2 linked regions of the Danio rerio genome follow. The protein of the gene in region 1 interacts with the protein of each later gene in a pairwise test. Links are inferred from orthologs where the notes say so. Each region holds a gene or a part of one and is shown in the gene's direction. Other genes may lie near its edges.

Evidence for each region.
Region 2: the proteins of si:rp71-19m20.1 (region 1) and cltcb interact in binary tests that used the Homo sapiens proteins (3 or more experiments, as listed by UniProt). The link is inferred for Danio rerio from reciprocal best matches to the Homo sapiens genes C10orf88 and CLTC.

What each region holds. Positions count from the first base shown.
Region 1 is NC_133187.1:11,905,512-11,909,965, forward strand, and holds the start of si:rp71-19m20.1 (ATPase PAAT), read left to right. Parts: upstream 1-1,512; 5' UTR 1,513-1,827; coding exon 1,828-1,961; intron 1,962-4,454. UniProt on the Homo sapiens protein: ATPase that regulates mitochondrial ABC transporters ABCB7, ABCB8/MITOSUR and ABCB10. Regulates mitochondrial ferric concentration and heme biosynthesis and plays a role in the maintenance of mitochondrial homeostasis and cell survival.
Region 2 is NC_133190.1:19,741,543-19,745,371, forward strand, and holds part of cltcb (clathrin heavy chain 1), read left to right. Parts: intron 1-263; coding exon 264-428; intron 429-959; coding exon 960-1,140; intron 1,141-1,875; coding exon 1,876-2,039; intron 2,040-2,136; coding exon 2,137-2,262; intron 2,263-2,355; coding exon 2,356-2,498; intron 2,499-3,829. UniProt on the Homo sapiens protein: Clathrin is the major protein of the polyhedral coat of coated pits and vesicles. Two different adapter protein complexes link the clathrin lattice either to the plasma membrane or to the trans-Golgi network.

The sequences.
Region 1 (4,454 bases):
TCGAGAATAAGGTCCAAGATTTAGAATAAAAGTTGTTTCACTATTAAAAAAAACTATACAGTAGTGAAAGATGACTTTGCTTATGTGTTTTTTGCACAGATGTTGGACAAAAAAAAATGTTAGCATTGGCCAAAACTGATTAACTTAAGTCACAGTCACACCAAAGCGACAGCCAGCAGAGGATTCTACTTGGTCTTAAAGGGGGTGGATACCGTCTTCCGAACCCCCCGAAGCCCCCTGGCTTGTCTTTTTCATTAATCTGGTATTTTTTTGTTTGACACTGGCTGAACTAAGTATGACAAGTTTATTCCTCTAGATGGCGCTCGAATGACACGTCAGGGACGAATTACTAAGCGTATTCAAGAGGTATCAAGTCCATGCGTTTGATGCATCGTCTTTTGTTTTGATATATGGGCAAAACCTGTTTTACTATATTACAGTAATAAGGCTATCCGTACCCTTTTCCAAAGAGAACTTATTACTGTACCTTATATTCAGTCTTATTGGATGTCTTTAGGATCAACTGATTTGCTGGAAAAAAGTGTGGCCACAAAAATTTCATGTTAGAATTAAAATTAAAGAAATATCTTATAAACTTCTCCACAGACTTTATCCAGCAAAACATTATTTACAAAAATTTAAAAGTGGGATTGAAGTAAATTGTATTGTTTGTAATGAATATGAGGAGACTGCTTTACACTTATTTTGGCATTGCGCATACTCAGTCAACTTATGAAGTGAGGTGCAAAGATTTATTAATAACAGTGTTCTTAACCTCTGTCGTTGTTGTGGGAAAATATACTTTTTGGCATTTCCACCCCAATCGAGAGGAAAGTTGTTTTTATTTAATTAATTAAATTATTTTGCTAACAAAATTTTACATTTATAAATGTAAATTTATCAATAAGAAACCGAATTTTAAGGTGTTGATGACTGAATTATGCTTATATAGTAGTATCAGAAACTCTCTAAATATAAGAAAGCACTACACACCTTACTGTGAACGTATTCATGCTTATTACAAATGTACATTTTGTATATTTGTATTTGATTTATTTACCCCCTGACATGTAGGCCTATTTTTTGTACTGTTAAAATGTAATAATAATAATAATAATAATAATAATAATAATAATAATAATAATAATAATAAAATTAAAAAAATAAATAAATAAGTAAATAAATAAAAGGTATTCAGTTAAATTTTTTTGGTAAATAATAAACATGTTCATCGTTTCTCAACTGTTAAAAGTTATCTTTGTCGTTAATAAATTAACTGAAGCTTCGTATTGTTTGCTGTTCTGTTAATTCAATCTCTTTGCTTTTCAGTGGCTTCAAAGGCAACGAAACTACATGAGATGAATATAGTATTTTATTATTGACAGAAGTAAATGTATGACAATAATATTTATTTATTTATCCTTTGCATACCGCACATGAGAAAACTAAATAAAAAAATAGAAAAACAGTGAATCGTTTGTGTTTTACTCAGGCGTATGCTTGAGCGCCTTTGTAGGGTCCTAGAGTAGCTGCCGTCGCTGTTTAGAATGTAATGTTAAAGTAGAGCGCAGTTTGTTTTTATTGCTTTTATAAAACGAAAAACACTGCGAGGATGTTGTGTTTTTTGTTTCGAACTTGATTAGTTAATATGTTTTAACTTCTCACTCTCACTGCAGATATATGAACGAACGTAACTGAAATCCTTTACTTTAGTGTGCAGTATGTAACTTAATCGTATTGGTTTTGGCTGTTTTATGGGAAACGGTTTAAAATATCGGATTGTGTGTGTGGATGCTGTTGGTGGGGCAATAAGAAGCATTTATCAGGATGTTCTCGAGTAAAGATGGTCTGATATCTGCAAACAGTTCATGGCCGTGTTCATCACAGAAGCAACTCTCTGATGTTCTCAGCACGACACTAGACAACAAACTGAACGACACACAATGGTTTCAACATGACAGGTGAGTCCGTTTGGTGGCTAAAATAGTGATTCGATTGTGTACTTTTAAAGGGGACCTATTATGCCCATTTTTACAATGTGTAAAATAAGACTGATGTCCCTATAGTGTGCTGGTGAAGTTTAAGTTCATAATACCTCACACATTTTCATAGATCTTAGAAACTGCCCCTTTTAGACTTTGGTACAAATTGCGTAGTTATGGTGACTGTCGCTTTAAATTAAAATAAAATTGTGCTTCCAGCCCTCTTTTCAAAAGAGGGTGGAGCTATAAACGTCTATGTGTCATCATAGCTGCAGATTCAAAACTTTAACGGCGGACGGCTGCTGCTTGCACAGAGCTTTCTATGCTAATGAGCGAGGGATGAGGTCATCACTAATAGGTGAGACTTTCCCCCTCCGATGACATACAAAGGGAAAATGTCAGCCAAAGTGTTTCTTCTTAAAATTAGAATTAATTAAAGTTTATTATTAGAGGCTGGCTAAATTCACACAACTGTGCTTTACCCCCTTCTAAAAGTGATTTTTGCATAATAGGTCCACTTTAAATCCAAAATGCACTCATTAATAATTGACTAACCTTTGTTAAGTTAATCCTAAAACTTGAGTTTCAAAATAAATTGTTTCTTTGATGCACTGCGATGCAGATGCAGATGGTTCAATATTGGTTCAGTAATAGATCATAACCGGTTATTACGTAGTGGCGACATTTATCTCCTATGCGCTATGTCGCTGTAGAATACTATGGCAAAGGAGGCGAGGGCGAGAAATTAAAATGCTCCAACTACTTAAAAAGCAGATAATTGTGCACAATTCACTGCTTGTGAGTTTGGTGGACAGTCTTTCTTTGACACTGAAGAATGTACAGCACACAAACTGCTGTTTCACTACTAGCGAGAAATGCTGTAAAACTCCATCTCTGCCTCTTTCTCACTTTGGACATTTGACCCGCTGACGTGTACTTGAGGTAACTTTTCCTCTCCTCGCGGCTGTTACAGCGATACTTGTGGATCCAGACACGAGCTTGCCAGTGGTGCAAGTTTTCTCCACTCCACTATTATGGAGTACCTGTGATAAACGCGTATTATGCGCAAATAGACTGTAACTGCGGTTGTTCTTCCCACGTCACTCATCGGTGAACAACGCTTTCATTTTCAAAGCTAATCGCAGCCTTCTCTATTGAGCGGGTGAAGACAGTGACCAATCATAGGAGTGTAAGAACTTGACAGCGCTCAGAAGGCAAGATGGATAATATTTACATTAGTCTATTTCCTATAAATGCTCATGTTGTTTTCTGTGCATGTACTGGAATATTGTCTAAACATTCAAAAAGATTTTTCTTTGAGCAAGTAAAATTAAAAGTACAGTTTATATATCTTACTGCGTTTATTTAAGGACAAAATTGTATTACAAATAATATAAAAATATAAATATATTTATAGATTTTAATAAAAACAAAATCTTGTGTTTTGAAGAAAAAATCTAATTCTGTATGGAAAGCATCGTCAATGCACCGTGATGTACCGAGATATCAAATTGAACGGAATCAACAGCATGATAATTGTAACTGAACAAATCATGAGACCAGTGTAGGTTCACACCCCTACCTAAAACATTCTTAAAATTAAAGGATTAGTTCATAAAATGAAAGTTGTCTAAGCCTCAAGTGGTTTCAAACCTTTATGCATTTGTATATTTGGTTGAACACAGAACAATATGGACAGAATAGTAGATATCTGATCTTGAAGAAGGTTTGAAATCCTTTTGAAGCTATTAAAGCAGGGGTGTCCAAACTTTTTGGGCCGAGGGCCAGATGCAAAAAGACAAACGTTGTCGCGGGCCAAATTTTACATACATCACACAGACACGTGTGTATATATATATATATATATATATATATATATATATATATATATATATATATATATATATATATATATATATATATATATATATATATATACACATACATATATATACATACAGTTGAAGTCAGAATTGTTAGCCCCCCTAAATTATTAGCCCCCGTTTATTTTTTCCCCAATTTCTGTTTAACGAAGAGAAGATTTTTTTCCACACATTTCTAAACATATTAGTTTTAGTAACTCATTTCTAATAACTGATTTATTTTATCTTTGCCATGATGACAGTAAATAATATTTGACTAGATATTTTTAAGACACTTCAATACAGCTTAAAGTGACATTTAAAGGCTTAACTAGGTTAATCAAGTTAACTAGTTAAGTTAAGGTAATTAGGCAAGTTATTTTATAACAATGGTTTGTTCTGAAGACTTAAAGGGCTAATAATTTTGACCTTAAAATGGTTCATAAAAAAATTTAAACAGCTTTTTATTCAAGCCGAAATAAAACAAAAGTCTTTCTCCAAAAGAAAAAATATTATCAGACATATGGTAAAAATGTCCTTGCTCTGTTAAACATCATTTGGGAAATATTTAAAAAAGAAGAAATAAATCAAAGAGGGGCTAATAATTCAG
Region 2 (3,829 bases), on another chromosome or scaffold:
AAACTAAAATAAATTAGAGAGAAAAACTGTAAATAATGTGAACGATTCACAAAAAAATATATTTTAAAGAATTAAAATAGGAGTGATAATTATATATCTAAATGTTTAGTTAAATATTTAAGTTATTTTTAATTACTTCAGTTTTGATTTCAGTGTTTGTTTATATTTAATAATTTTGTTTTTAATTATTTCAGTATATTTAAGTTTTGTACCGTACATAACATGCTAGTTTTTTTTTTTTTTTTTTTTTTTTTTTTTTTCAGGTGGCAGATGCCATCCTGGGCAATCAGATGTTCACTCACTATGATCGGGCTCATGTGGCACAGCTGTGTGAAAAGGCTGGTCTTCTTCAGAGGGCTCTGGAGCACTATACTGACCTTTATGACATCAAACGAGCGGTGGTCCACACACACCTGCTCAACCCAGAGGTAAAACACACAGTCTGATACAGCTACTGCACTCAGTGCTATTTTATTAGTCAGCTGTCCTCCAGTTGGCCAAAACTTTGTTGGGGGTTTGTGCTGTACTTCACCAATTGATGAGAAAAAACCTAGTAAGAAACCAGGCTTAGCTGGGCTTGACAAATTCTTCTCTGACTAAACGAACTTTAACTGCGTCGCACATGCAATCTAGTTGACGACAAACTGCCCTTTTTGTGGCACAAACCAATGAAATAAATGGGTTTTATAGTGCAGTGTGCGTTCAGTGTGAAAGCCATTTACCAGTTTACCAAAACTCTGAACGTTGAAGGCTGTCTGTGCTTTATTGGTGTTTCATCGATAAAATTCAGTATTTTGGGTTCAGGATTTTATTTTTGCAGCAACCTTGCAGTATTAGATATTTGTCATCTACAATAATATTTTAGTTGCTGTTTTTTTATTTGCAAGTTGACATTGTCACTTGTTTTGCAAAAAACATTTTGTGAAAGCTTTCACTGATGTGTTGTGCTCTGGTTGCAGTGGCTGGTGAATTTCTTTGGCTCTCTCTCGGTTGAAGACTCTATGGAGTGTTTGAGAGCCATGCTGTCTGCCAACATACGGCAGAACCTGCAGATCTGTGTCCAGGTGGCCTCCAAGTATCACGAGCAGCTCTCCACACAGTCCCTCACAGAGCTCTTCGAGTCCTTCAAGAGCTTTGAGGGTAACCATACTAAAATGTTTTGTATACCAGAACTGAAATTGAGACCGGGTTGTGTTGCCTGAAGGATCATGTCTCTTTTTTTAACTGTGTTTGTGGATCTCCATATTTGTGTATTTGCTCTGACTTGACCTTAAGGAAACTGTTATTTCCACCTAGGAAACCATAATTTCCACCAAATAGCCAAGTATATTTTAATGGTTAACACATGGAAATACTATACAAATAATATAATACATATTTTATAAATATAATCTGGTACCTAGTGCTTTATATATTTGGCTATTTCAAAATATCCTCATTATTTACTCACACTTTTACAACTTTTATGTATTTCTTTCTTTTGTTGAACACAAAACAAGGTTTTCTAAAGAATGTTGGAAAAAAGCTGGCATTGGTTTTCATAATAGGAGCATAAATCTATAAAAGTCAATGGCTGTTTTTCCAACATTCTTCAGAGTATCTTCCTTTGTGTTGAAGTGTAGAAAGAAGCTCAAAGAGGTTTGGAACAAAAAGTGAACATTTTCAGAAGGATTGCTACCCCTCTAAATGAGAGTTCTCATTGTATTTTTTAGTTTATTTAATATCTATTTAATATATATTTTAATTAAAGCGCATCATGTTTCTACAATATATTTTAATGTTGAGAGCAAAAGCGTTATAAATGTACTATTTGAATTGAACCCAATCATGAAAATGATTAAGATCTCGTGAACATTATATGATTGTTCTCTACAGGTCTGTTTTACTTCCTGGGCTCCATTGTGAACTTTAGCCAGGATCCAGAGGTTCACTTTAAATACATTCAGGCTGCCTGTAAGACTGGTCAAATCAAAGAGGTGGAGAGAATCTGCAGGGAGAGCAACTGTTATGATCCTGAGCGAGTGAAGAACTTCCTCAAGGTGTGATACCACAATAAGCTCCTGAATTTACTTTTTATCTTTTAACAAACCCTTAATGTTGCTTAATTATTTATTTTATCTTCCTCATATTTCACAGGAAGCAAAACTGACTGACCAGCTGCCCCTCATCATTGTGTGTGACCGCTTTGATTTTGTCCATGACCTTGTGCTCTACTTGTACCGCAACAACCTCCAGAAGTACATTGAGATTTATGTTCAGAAGGTACTTGAGGCGCGATTATGATAATGCTTGAGGAATCATCATCAACATTTCAGCTTAATGGGAGAGTGAATAATGATGGACTGTTTTTATCAGGTCAACCCCAGCCGTTTGCCTGTGGTGATTGGAGGGCTACTGGATGTGGATTGCTCTGAGGACGTCATTAAGAACCTCATTCTGGTGGTCAGAGGACAGTTCTCCACTGATGAGCTTGTGGCGGAGGTGGAGAAAAGAAACAGGTGCAACACTGCAGTGTTTTAAGAGTTTAACAATTTGCTGATCATATATAAACTGAAAATGCTTTTCCATTTCCATTTTCCATTTTTTCATTTTTAAAATATATTTTGTGACACATTTTTTAATTTAACCCAATAACATAAATTGTACAGATTTAAAATACCCTACACATTTAATTGAGATTACAATTTTATTGATAGTAAAAAAGTCAAGAGATGTTATTTTATCAGCATTGCAACGACAGTACAAGCAGCATGAAGTATGCTTTGTAGAAATGCCATGTACAGTTGAAGTTGAATTATTAGCCCCCCTGAATTATTAGAACCCCTGTTTATTTTTTCCCCAATTTCTGTACAACAGAGAGTAGATTTCTTCAACACATTTCTAAACATAGTTTTAATAACTCATCTCCAATAACTGATTTGTTTTTATCTTTGCCATAAGGACAGTAAAAAATATTTTACTAGATATTTTTCAAAACACTTTTATGCAGCTTACAGTGACTTTTAAAGGCTTAACTAGGCTAATTAGGTTTACTAGGCAGGTTTTGATAATTAGGCAGTTATTGTATAATGATGGTTTGTTCTGTAGACTATCGAAAAAAAAGTTAGCTTAAAGGGGGTAATAATTTTGTCCTTAAAATGTTGTTTAAAAAATTAATAACTGCTTTTATATTAGCCGAAAAAAAAAAAAGACTTTCTCCAGAAGAAAAAACATTATCAGACATACTGTAAAAATTTCCTTGCTATGTTAAATATAATATGGGAAATATTAAAATAGCAACAAAAATTCAAAGGGGGCTAATAATTCTGACTTTAAATGTATTTGCTTTTTTTCCTGTGAGCATGTGCGATTCATCATTAGATAAGAATACAGTTTCATGAATGGAATACACACAGTGTAAAATATTGATCTTTTTTTTTTCAATTCATATTTATTTCAATTCATCTTTATCTATAGTGCTTTTTTGATGTAGATTATGTAAAATATAGATGAAGTTCTGGTAAATTAAAATGGCTTCAGTTTAGTTGTCACAGTTGAAGTTCAGTGTGATGCAAAAGTCACTGTTGAAAGCACTGAAAACACTGAAGTGCAACTCTACCGGTGTGCAGCTCCACAAGTCCTAGCCAAGCAAATCAGAGCAAGAAAAAAACTGTCTCAGCTAGGCATAACCATGTCTCCTCTGGCCACAATAAACTTGTGACAACAACTTGTGACAACAAACTGCCATTTTGTGGTACAAGCCATTGAAATGAATTGGTTTCATAGTGCAGTGCTTTCTGCATCCAGTGTGAAAGCCACTTTAGACTGCATGGTGACTTGGCTGAAAGGA